Linked DNA regions of Callithrix jacchus. The protein of the gene in region 2 interacts with the protein of the main gene of each other region in a pairwise test. Links are inferred from orthologs where the notes say so. Each region holds a gene or a part of one and is shown on either strand. Other genes may lie near its edges. The genes, in order: FABP1, FLNA and MYOZ1.

What was found.
Region 1: the proteins of FLNA (region 2) and FABP1 interact in binary tests that used the Homo sapiens proteins (3 or more experiments, as listed by UniProt). The two-hybrid records come from large-scale screens. The link is inferred for Callithrix jacchus from reciprocal best matches to the Homo sapiens genes FLNA and FABP1.
Region 3: the proteins of FLNA (region 2) and MYOZ1 interact in binary tests that used the Homo sapiens proteins (3 or more experiments, as listed by UniProt). The link is inferred for Callithrix jacchus from reciprocal best matches to the Homo sapiens genes FLNA and MYOZ1.

The regions. Positions count from the first base shown.
Region 1 is NC_133515.1:26,008,644-26,011,526, reverse strand, and holds the end of FABP1 (fatty acid-binding protein, liver), read right to left. Parts: intron 2,190-2,883; coding exon 2,097-2,189; intron 737-2,096; coding exon 686-736; 3' UTR 613-685; downstream 1-612.
Region 2 is NC_133524.1:150,165,225-150,168,975, forward strand, and holds the start of FLNA (filamin-A), read right to left. Parts: upstream 2,458-3,751; 5' UTR 2,332-2,457; intron 2,048-2,331; 5' UTR 1,954-2,047; intron 1,208-1,953; exon of another isoform or gene 985-1,207; intron 1-984. UniProt on the Homo sapiens protein: Promotes orthogonal branching of actin filaments and links actin filaments to membrane glycoproteins. Anchors various transmembrane proteins to the actin cytoskeleton and serves as a scaffold for a wide range of cytoplasmic signaling proteins.
Region 3 is NC_133513.1:56,489,615-56,493,365, forward strand, and holds the start of MYOZ1 (myozenin-1), read left to right. Parts: upstream 1-1,011; 5' UTR 1,012-1,076; intron 1,077-3,014; 5' UTR 3,015-3,032; coding exon 3,033-3,105; intron 3,106-3,751. UniProt on the Homo sapiens protein: Myozenins may serve as intracellular binding proteins involved in linking Z-disk proteins such as alpha-actinin, gamma-filamin, TCAP/telethonin, LDB3/ZASP and localizing calcineurin signaling to the sarcomere.

The DNA.
Region 1 (2,883 bases), on a different chromosome or scaffold from region 2:
TTGGGTGAATGCTATTCAACCCCTAACAAGTACCTAACAGTTTGGCATAAAGTAGTGTTGAGGGGACTCCTCTGCTTCCTCTACCCTCTGCCCCTGCCCATAGCATGGAGAGAACCTCCACTGAGCCTCCTGTGTCCCCTTCTGGCACCTCTCACTAAGCCCCTTGCTCAGCCTCCTATAGGAGGAAAAGTTTATTTGGCGAGTCAGTGCCGACCTTTCTGCATCTGTCTGCCGGTGGGCTGGCACTGTGGCTGTGCTTGTGGCCAAGCCTTTTTGCCATAGCTCTCCTTTTCTGCCCAGTCTTCCTGCTCCCTGTCCCCACAGAGAGACAGCCTCCAGGCCAGCCCACTGCACATCCTCTGGCTCCAGCTCCTCGCCTGTGTGTCTGACTGGGAAAGGGCATTCCAGGACCTTCCTGCAAATCTAGCCACACCTGGCTGTCCTGGCAGGGACACATGAGTGGGCAGCGTGGGTTTTGTGTTTAGGGAATTACTCTTTGGACCTGACCTGGGAGTGTGGATCAGGTGGATTATCAACATTTATGAAAATATGGTTAGGAGAATGTGGTGACCAATAGCACCATTAATGAAAAGCCATAGAAAAGAAAAGACATTTTTTCAAAAAAACAAAGTTCACTTTATTATGTTAATTTTACACACTAAAATAATATGAAATGCAGACTTGTTTAAATTCTCTTGCTGATTCTCTTGAAGACAATGTCGCCCAATGTCAAGGTCTGAAAGCCAGAAAAGAAATTATGAAATGTTCATCTGATGTTGTATTGTTAAGAAAAATTAAGCTTAAAAAATAGCACCAGATATGTTGGCATATGAAACAATTCAAAAATTCGTCTGGTTTTCTGTAGGGCAGGAGGAAGGGTTGGCAATTTTTTCCAAAATCCTATGCCAAGTCTTTGTCACTTCTCCTCACCTGGAAAGTCCTCATGCCTTTTACTGAATTCTTTTCTACATCAACAGCTGTTATAGCAAGACCATCCAAACCAGCCCAATCCAATTTCTCAGTTTCATGAAGTACCTAGTATACACTGAATACATGTTGAACACCAAGGATATATGTACATGGACACAATGAGGCACACAGCCTGGAAGGCAGTGGGTAGTACATAATTGTCCTCCTAGAGCTGTGAAGCTTATAAAAACAGTGGATGCATCAGGTTTGTTTTTTAAGGATGTTCCCTCTGCCCCTGCCAATTCTCCTCAATAATTCTTCTGGAATGACTTACCATGTCATCAGGGTGAAAAGGAGCCCCTTAGCTTCAGCAGCAATGCAATGGTTGCTGCTCGATGGGTTCAAGCCCTGGGTCTATCATTTATTAGCTGATGACTTGGACAGGTCAACCTGTTTATTGAGTCCCTCATCCAGCCTCCCACAAGGAGACAGGAGGATTAGGTGAGATGGAGCCTATCAAAGGGCATTGGCCAGACTCACTACTGGACAGCTCATCTCCTGCTCCCCTGCTCTCCTGAGAATGTGATGGCGGTGAGCTGGAGACTACAGATTAGATGGGTGATGCTTACACTTTATCTAGTTTAAGAATTTTTCTGTTTGAACAGAATGATGACAGCTCCCTGAGGCAGGGTTCTGTTGTTTGTGACTCCCTAAAGCATATATTGGGGGCAAAGAAGAATCAGGGAGACATACCTGCAGGAGAAACACTGCACTGTTCATCCCCAAATAGGGGATAGGCTGTGGTGAGCAGCCAGGCACGAAGGCTGACTGAATAACTGGACTGTGCCAGGCCTGTAAGCTGCCATAATATCTCCGTGAATGGGATTCTTTTTATAAATGCTAAATGGGCAAAGGCATTTGTGAAGCACCCTGGGCATGCAGGGCAGGTGGAAGCCTCTGTGGCTGGTTGGTTAGTGCTGAGCAGAAGGGATTAGTGACAATGTGTGTAAACTCCCTGGGACATTATGGATCTGCAGTAAGTTATAGCAGATACTGACTGCAGGAAAGAAGTTTGAGGGCTGGAGGGTGGAGAGGTGGGATTAGGGTTTGTGAACTGCTCCCCGTCCTTCACCTTTCCTCTCCCCTCAAGCACTGGTAGCCACATGCTCAGAGCACCACCAACTTACACTGGTGATTATGTCGCCGTTGAGTTCGGTCACAGACTTGATGTTTTTGAAAGTTGTCACCAGTTTATTGCCACCTTCCATCTGAACCACTGCCTGCAGGAAACAGAGAGGCAGCCTGTGATAAAGAGGTGGTGGGGGGCAAGAGCCTTGCTAATGAAGTTGGTTCTTCTGCACAGGTCTCAGCTCATATCAACCAAAATGCTCTGGTTCCTATGCTCCCAAGCTTCCAGTTCTCTGGCTTTAAAGAGAAGTGAGGTGCATTTAAGAACTAAATAAAATGTCAGGACTTCTTTTGTCTTATGGCATGTAATCTAGAAATGAGCATGGAACACCTAAGTGGCCCCAAATACAAATGCTAAAATCAAATTGAGTGAAATCTCAATTCTCCCAAGCTAATGGAGGGAGCTAGTGGCAAAATTCAAAATATTGACCAGTAGAGAATACATATTTTCCTTTGGTATGTATTCTTCTTCTTTTCTTTTTTTTTTTGAATTGAGGTGGGGGTCTTGTTATGTTTCCCAGGCTGGTCTTAACCTCCTAGGCTCAAGCAGTCCTCCCACTTCGGCCTCCCAGAGTGCTGGGATTGTAGGCGTGAGCCACCATACCCAACCAGGTATGTATTATTCTTTCCGGAATGTTAATCTCTCCTATTGTGGCCTCCTTCCAAGCCCTTATACATTCCGGAAGAGATGACATAGGTATACATCAGGGAGCATAAGACTCTGGACAATGTTAAACATTTTGCCTCCAAAAAGAAAATTTGGAAAAGGCCCATGGTTAAATCCCT
Region 2 (3,751 bases):
GGCACTGGGCTAGGAGGTCGCCGGCACTCCAGTAGCAAGCAGCCTTCGAAGGGGCCAGGGCCTGCCAACGGGTACGCCAGTGGGCTCGGGCAGAGGGCGCTGTGCAATGCTTGTAGAGATTACCTGTGCCCGCCTAACCCTTGATGCCGTTCACCCGGGGCACTTGTGGGGGCTGAATTGGGGCGTCCTCTCCGGTCGGAATGACCCCTGAGCCCAGCGTGGCCAGGCAAGGGGCAGACGGGAATGGCATTCTAGACCTAGAGGGGGCTGGGTGGGTTTCAGGTGTGGTGGCAGGTGCAGAGGAGGCCTGGGGGATTGTGTCCCCCAGATCAGTGGGGACTATTCACCCAAAATTTTCTGGTAGATAACTCGAGATGGTGCAGAGGCTGCTGTGCTGAGATGGAGACCGGAGCCAGGGGACTGTTGGGGACGCTGACTGCTAACCTCTTCAGTCAGAAGAAGCCAGACTGCCTATGGCTTCCTCTCCAGCTCTGCACTCCCTCCCTCTTAGTCCTGGGTACATCCTGTCTCCGGAATGTTTCCTCCTTTATGTGTTTTTTTTCTAGGAAGGCAGGTCTGTGTTCCTTCTGCTCAATTCTAGTAATAATTAATTTATCTGCTAAAGACCAGTGAGAGGAGGAGGCCTTGGGTTGGCCACCACGTCATGCCCAAATATGGTTGGCTATCCTGTCGAACTGGGTGTCCACAAGACATGTGGTGGGGCTGTGGTCCGCCCAGCACATTCACTTCGGGGCTGCCTGTGGCCCCACTGGTTTTTCCCACTAGTGGTGGTGGTAGGGTGGGCAAATGGCATTTTCCAGTACCAAGGCCAACCCCTGTAAATTGGCCCCTCTCCTGATCACTTGGAGACACACCTGCACCAAGTGCACCTCCGCGTCTGGGAGCTGGGGTGGAGGTGGGAGGGGGGCTGGGAAGGGGGATGCCATACAGACGCCTCCCTCCCAGGCCCCATTCAAGACTGACTTGAAGTTGTCCTTCCGGTCCCCCTGTCCCGCTGGAAAGCAAGTTCCCAGGCATGGAATTCCATCAAGAAGTGACTCTCCACTAAGGGCCATTGAGCTGGGTTGTCTGGGCTCATTCCTTAATCTTCAGAGCTCAAGGAAACTGAGTCAGAGTGACCAGGAGTCAACTGCAGCAGAAAGGGTGTCAGGAGGTGGGTGTCCTGTCTTCCAGCCCTAGCTTTTCCCTATTTAGAGGAAACAAGGAATGGGCGTGTAGAGGGTACTTGTCCCTAGGAGGACATAGCATTACCACCAGATGTCGCCCAATCCCAAAGCCCCCAGATCCGGCAGCCCTGGGAAGCCAAAATCCAGCTCTTTCATATTTTCCCTTATTTGGAGTAGATTCTTGGATGCTAGACACACCCCGCCCACCACACTACCCCTGGCCCTCAGACCCAAGGGCAGACTCTCCCACTGGGAGGTAGAGCCCAAGCCCAGAGGCTGTTCAGTTGGATCCCTAAGGAGCCGTTTCCAGGCCTGCGTAGCCAGGGGGCGCCGGAGGGAAGGAAGCCGGATTGGCAAGGTGAGAAGAAACCTGTGCTGGCAAGTCCAGGTTCGGCAGGTGAGGTCGCTCGTTCCCAAGCTCCCACCTTGACAGTGCAGTTTGGACCACTTACAAATGGGTCTGCCAGTGGATTTTCACCTACTTTGGCCCCAGGTGGCATGGGAATCTGGGGACATTGTTGGTCTCATCCTGGCTGGCGGTGCGAATCCAGCTCAGAGCCAGCCTGTGATAGGGCCTAGGGCCCAGCCAAGGAACCTAGCCTGGCCTCATCCTCACCGTGGCCCTGATGGAGTACAGCAGCCCCAGAGCCAGCTCCCCTGTGCCCAAAGCAGCTGGTGCCCTGTGGACTCGATCCAGCAAGGCACATGCTGTCCCCCTCCCAGTGGGCACACTGGCTAAGAAGTGTTCTTCTAGGTGGCCACTCACCCTAAGTCCACACAAGTTCCTGTTGTCAGGGCCCTTCTCTCTCAGATAGGCATGCAGTGGTCCGTTCATGGGCACCCATGCAGTCGCCAGTCTCCTGCCAAGTGCCCAGACACCCTGTCTCTCGGGGACCCCCATGGCCTCAGGCTCCCACACTCGTGGGCACAGACATGGCTCGTGGGTCAACTAGGGGAGACATTCTCTGGACACCCACTCCCAGATGCCAGAGGCGCCTCCATCGGCTCACGCACCCCAGCAGAACCTGGCCAGGACCTGGGTGCGAGCTGGAGCCTGACTTCTCCCGCCTCTCTGCCCGCCTTCTCCAATCTCGCCCTCGACCGACCAAGAGCGCGGCGACCCTACCGGCCGCGGAGACCTCACCTGCTGTCCCTGAGGGTGACCGGTGACCGGTGACCGCGGGGTGGCGCCCGGATCGCTTTCGCGCCCGCGCCAGGCGCCTCGGGGTTCCGTCGGCGTCCGCTGCGTGCCGCGCGCCTCCACGCGAATGGGCCGCCGTCGCTGCCCGCCTTCTTGTTGGCTGCACCCCCGCCCCGCGCCCGCCCCGCGCCCGCCCCGGCCTGGCGAGAAAGCCTTAATTGGTAAAATTGCCCAGGAGCCTGGGACGGGTGCGGGAGGGAGGGTGCGGGGGCGCGCCTTTAGCTCCAGCGACCCGCTGCCAGGAGACACCGCCCCTCTAGATGAGCTCACCGCCACTGAGGGCCGCCAGGCCCTGGGGGAGGGGGGACTTAGCGGGGAGTCGCCTCCAGCGCCCGCAGGGTCTGCAGGGCCCACGTCTAGGCCCAATCACAAGGATGCTGTATGTCTGAGTCTGGGGGAGCCAAGCACACCCCAGGTGGAAAAGCCCAGGACCAAGGCCACCTTCTCCAAGGAGCCACCCACAATCACAGCCCCACCGGGATCGTGTCCCCTGGGGTGGGGGCAACAGGTTGTTGCAGGTGTTTGCTGGGTACCTACCTCAGCCAAGGGCTCCAAGCCCTGGGATGAACCCGACTGCCACAGATCCGGCCCTGCCAGGTCTGGCCTGGGGTGGGCAGCAGAAACAGCACGGCTCAGGGGCAGTCCCAGAGCGTGGGGGTGTGCAGCAGAGTGCAGCTAAAGAGCCAAGTGTCTGTGAACATGGTGGCCACAGCCACGCCCTGGCACTGCTAGGCTCTCTCTTCCTTTTCTACAGGCCCATTTCCTGGTAGTTTCAGATTCAGCTCAAATGTCACTTCCTTGGGGAAAGCGGCATCAGGCAGTGCTGTGTAACATCTTGCCCACGACCCCGAATAAGAACTACAGTTGCCACCGTGACCTCCTGAAACAAAAGTTTTACAAAACGATACTTTTCCTTACTACCTGCAAAGAGTAGGCTGCTATTTTCAATTCTATTCCAAACAGGGAAGGCCCGAAGGGAGGGAGGGAAGGAGGCAGGGAGGGAGGGAGTCTGGTGGCACCTGCTAAGTTAGTTCTGCAGCCCCAGTTTAACACTGTGGCAAGGCATTGGTTGCCCTCTCTGTCTTGCTGCCTGTGCTGCCCCGAGGAAACCTCCCAACAGTCAGGTCCAGGGTCTCGTCTCTAGCCGCTCCATTCAGTGTGTGTGCCCCGATAGGGAGGCCACTTGCTAGATGAGAAGCCTGAGCTCAGGCCCAATAGGTAGCTGTACTGGGGTTCACAGCCAAGGCTATCCCTCAAGGCACTGTACCAGGTGAAAGGAGCATGAAAGAGGAAGTGGCTGCTTGGCTCCATCTCAAGAGCCTATGTTTGAACCCTTTCTTTGCACTGCTACCCCTCCACACTC
Region 3 (3,751 bases), on a different chromosome or scaffold from region 2:
GGGCAAATAATAGGCTTTCCCCAAGGGGACTCTCAAGCTTGTACCCCTGTCCAGAGACTCTGCTGGAACAGTACGAATGGCACAGTCCAAATCCTATGTGGTATGTACTCCCTTTGAAGGAAATCTCAAGTAGAAACCTCAGAGAACAAGGCCCTGGCAGGTCAGAGGCCTACATGTGCTTCTCACGGAGATACTAATGTCTATCCTGCACAGCAGGTTGAACTGAGCATCTCAATAGCAAATGGAGGTTTAAAGGCAGATCCTGGCTACCCGGGAGGCGGAGATTGCAGTGGAGATGGTGCCATTGCACTCTAGCCCAGGCAACAAAAAAAGGCAGATCCAAGTGTTTGTCTTTTCTTAAAACTGCCAGAGTTCAAGAGGAAAGAAGAGAGAGTGAAGCAGATAGAATAATTGTCAAGTCTTCCCCACATCATCCCTGCCTAGGAGGTACTGGGTTTGGTTAATTTGGTCCCTTAACCTGCCAAAATCTAGCCCCCGCAGAGAAAAGACCAACCTATTCAGGAAGTTTAAAAGAGCAGTTCCATTGTGAAGACTTCCCTTCTTGTCCCTAAACATAGTACTTTAAGCCCTCCCTGCCCCAAATACACCCACAGGTCCTTCCACTGTGCCCTGGATTGGCTCTGTATGGCCCTCAGGGCATGTTCCCCAGGCTCGCTCTCTCTGACAGGATTCCTATCCGATACTTGTTGTCTACTTCCTGTCTCCCTCTTATTCTCCTAAGTGCTTCTTTGGATCTCAGGCTCTAGGTGCAATGTGAAGGGGAGTCCCTGGGCAGAGTGATCCCTGGCTCAGAAAGCTCAGTGGGAGAATCCCAAAGGCCTTCTCCCTCCTTCCTGAGCCCCTGGGCAAGGAGGCAGGGATCTTGGTTCCAGGGTCTCAGTACCCCCTGTGCCATTTGAGCTGCTTGCGCTCATCATCTCTATTAATAACCAACCTCCCTCCCCCACTGCCAGTGCTGCCCCCACGCCTGCCCAGCTCATGTTCTCCGGTCACAGCAGCTCAGTCCTCCAAAGCTGTTGGACCCCAGGGAGAGCTGACCACCGCCCGAGCAGCCGGTAAGTCTCCAGCTCTATCGTTAGAGAGGCTGGGGCCCACTCTGTTGACTTCTGTATCTGTGTCTACAATTGTGATTCTTGATCCTGGAGGAGTCTCCCCTCTCATCTATGCTCAGCTCCCAGCTGTCCAGTTCAGGGGAGCCACCGAAAGTTGGAAGGAGAGGGGCCCAGGAGGTTGCGGGGAATGGAGATGTCAGGAGGCACTGGAAGAATGGGAAGGGAGACCCCACTAAGTCAGTAGAGTTGCAGATGCATATTTGTGACAGGGCTCAACAGAGGCTCAACAGCATTTCACTAAGTGCCAATTTCTCTTTAAGAAGGGATAGGAGTCTATCTTATCTCAGCTTGTCCCTTTCCATTGCCAGATCCTATTACTATGTTTCTGCCCACCTCAATTCCCCACTGCTGTGATATTGCTGAATTGATGTGTGTTGGGATTTGAATGCTCCCTACCCTCCCCAATTCCACACCCCTCTCCACTCTGGGGTCTGGGGCGGGAGTGACTGTGGGAGCAGGGCCATGACTTCCCAGGCCATGTTCCAGCTGGCCTGATGAAGGAGCAACAACCTCTCCTTCCTATGGAGAGTGTTTTTGGCTGAATCTCCTCAACCCTGGCAGAACATTTCTCTGTCCTCCTTGGGACTGGGGGAAGACTGAGGAGAGATCAGAGCCTGGAATCACAGCCCCAGTCTGATATCCCAATGCAAATAAAAACTTCAAATTATGCCAAGCTGATGAAACCTGGGTGCATTGCCCTGCCTGTATTATTGTTTTTTGAACACTCTCCACCTCAGTGATGTTCCTAATTCCTGCACCGACTCTATAAAAAACAGCTCACAACAGGTTGGTAGAAGATGGGGGCTGGTGTACATCTGTACTTCCTGTCCTCCATCCCAAGAAAAGAGAAGCCCTAAAGCAGCAGGTTTTCACCTTTTGAGGGAATACATACTTCTTTGAAAATCTGGGTTGGGTGAGATGGCTCACACCTGTAATCTTAGCACTTTGAGAGGTGAGAGGATTGCTTGAGCCCAGAAATTTGAGACCAGCCTAGGCAATATGGCAAAACCCCATCTCTACAAAAAACACAAAAATTGGCTGGGCGTGGTGGCTCACACCTGTAATCCCAGCACTTTGGGAGGCTGAGGTGTGTGGATCACCTGAGGTCAGGAGTTCAAGACCAGCCTGACCAATGGAGAAAGCCCATCTCTACTAAAAATACAAAAAATTAGCTTGGTGTGGTGGTGCGTGCCTGTAATTCCAGCTACTCAGGAGGCTGAAGCAGGAGAATCGCTTGAACCCAGGAGGCAGAGGTTGCAGTGAGCCAAGATCATGCCATTGCACTCCAGCCTGGGCAACAAGAGCAAAACTCCATCTCAAAACAAACCAAAAACTAGCAAGGCATGGTGGTTCACACCTAAACTTGCAGCTCTATGGGAAACTGAGGTTAGAGGATCACCTGAGCCGAGGGAGATTGAGGCTGCAGTGAGTCATGATTGTGCTGTTGCACTCCAGCCTGAATGACAGAGTGAGATCCTATCTCTAAAGAAAAAAAAAAAAATTTATCCCCTCAAGCCGTTAAACCCAGGTTAAGATGTAGTGCTCTCGGCCAGGTGTTGTGGCCTGTAATCCCAGCACTTTGAGAGGTCAGGAGTTTGAGACCAGCCTGGCCAACATGGTGAAACCCCGTCTCTACTGAAAATACAAAAATTAGCTGGACATGGGGGTGGGTGCCTGTAATCCCAGATAGGAGGCTGAGGCAGGAGACTTGTTTGAACCCTGGAGGCTGAGGTTGCAGTGAACTGAGATCGTGACATTGCATTCCAGCCTGGGCAACAGAATGAGACTCCATCTCAAAAAAAAAAGTTAGTGCTCTCCTATAGACACTCACTCTTCCTGGTCCCTGTCTATCCTCCAACTCCTCCTTCCCACCCTATCCAGGCTGAATCCACCTCCACAATGCCGCTCTCAGGAACCCCAGCCCCTAATAAGAAGAGGAAATCCAGCAAGTTGATCATGGAACTCACTGGAGGTAGGACATGTTTGCATCTACCTAGTGTGGGACTTCTTAAAAGCGTCCCTAACCTAAGAGTCCCAGAAATATGTATCTTAGGTTGAGCAGACAAGAGGAATTCCAGTGGTGGGAATATGGATGATGGGGAGTGGGAGCGGGAAGGGTAAGAAGAGTAGGGAGAAAGAAAGAAAAGATTCAATATCTTCAGCTGGGAGCAGTGAAGTGGCTCCCACCTGTAATCCCAGAACTTTGGGAGGCTGAGGGGGCAGACCACGAGGTCAGGAGTTCCAGACTAGCCTGACCAACAAGATGAAACCCTGACTCTACTAAAAATACAAAAAAATTGGCCGGGTACGGTGGCTCACGCCTGTAATCCCAGCACTTTGGGAGCCCGAGGTGGGTGGATCAAGAAATCGAGAACATCCTGGTCAACGTGGTGAAACCCCGTCTCTACTAAAAATACAAAAAATTAGCTGGGCATGGTGGTGCATGCCTGTAATCCCAGCTACTTGGGAGGCTGAGGCAGGTTGCGGTGAGCTGAGATCGCGCCATTGCACTCCAGCCTGGGTAACACGAGCGAAACTCCGTCTCAAAAAAAAAAAAAAAAAATACAAAAAATTAGGCAGGAGAATCGCTTGAACCTGGGGGTGGAGGTTGCTGTGAG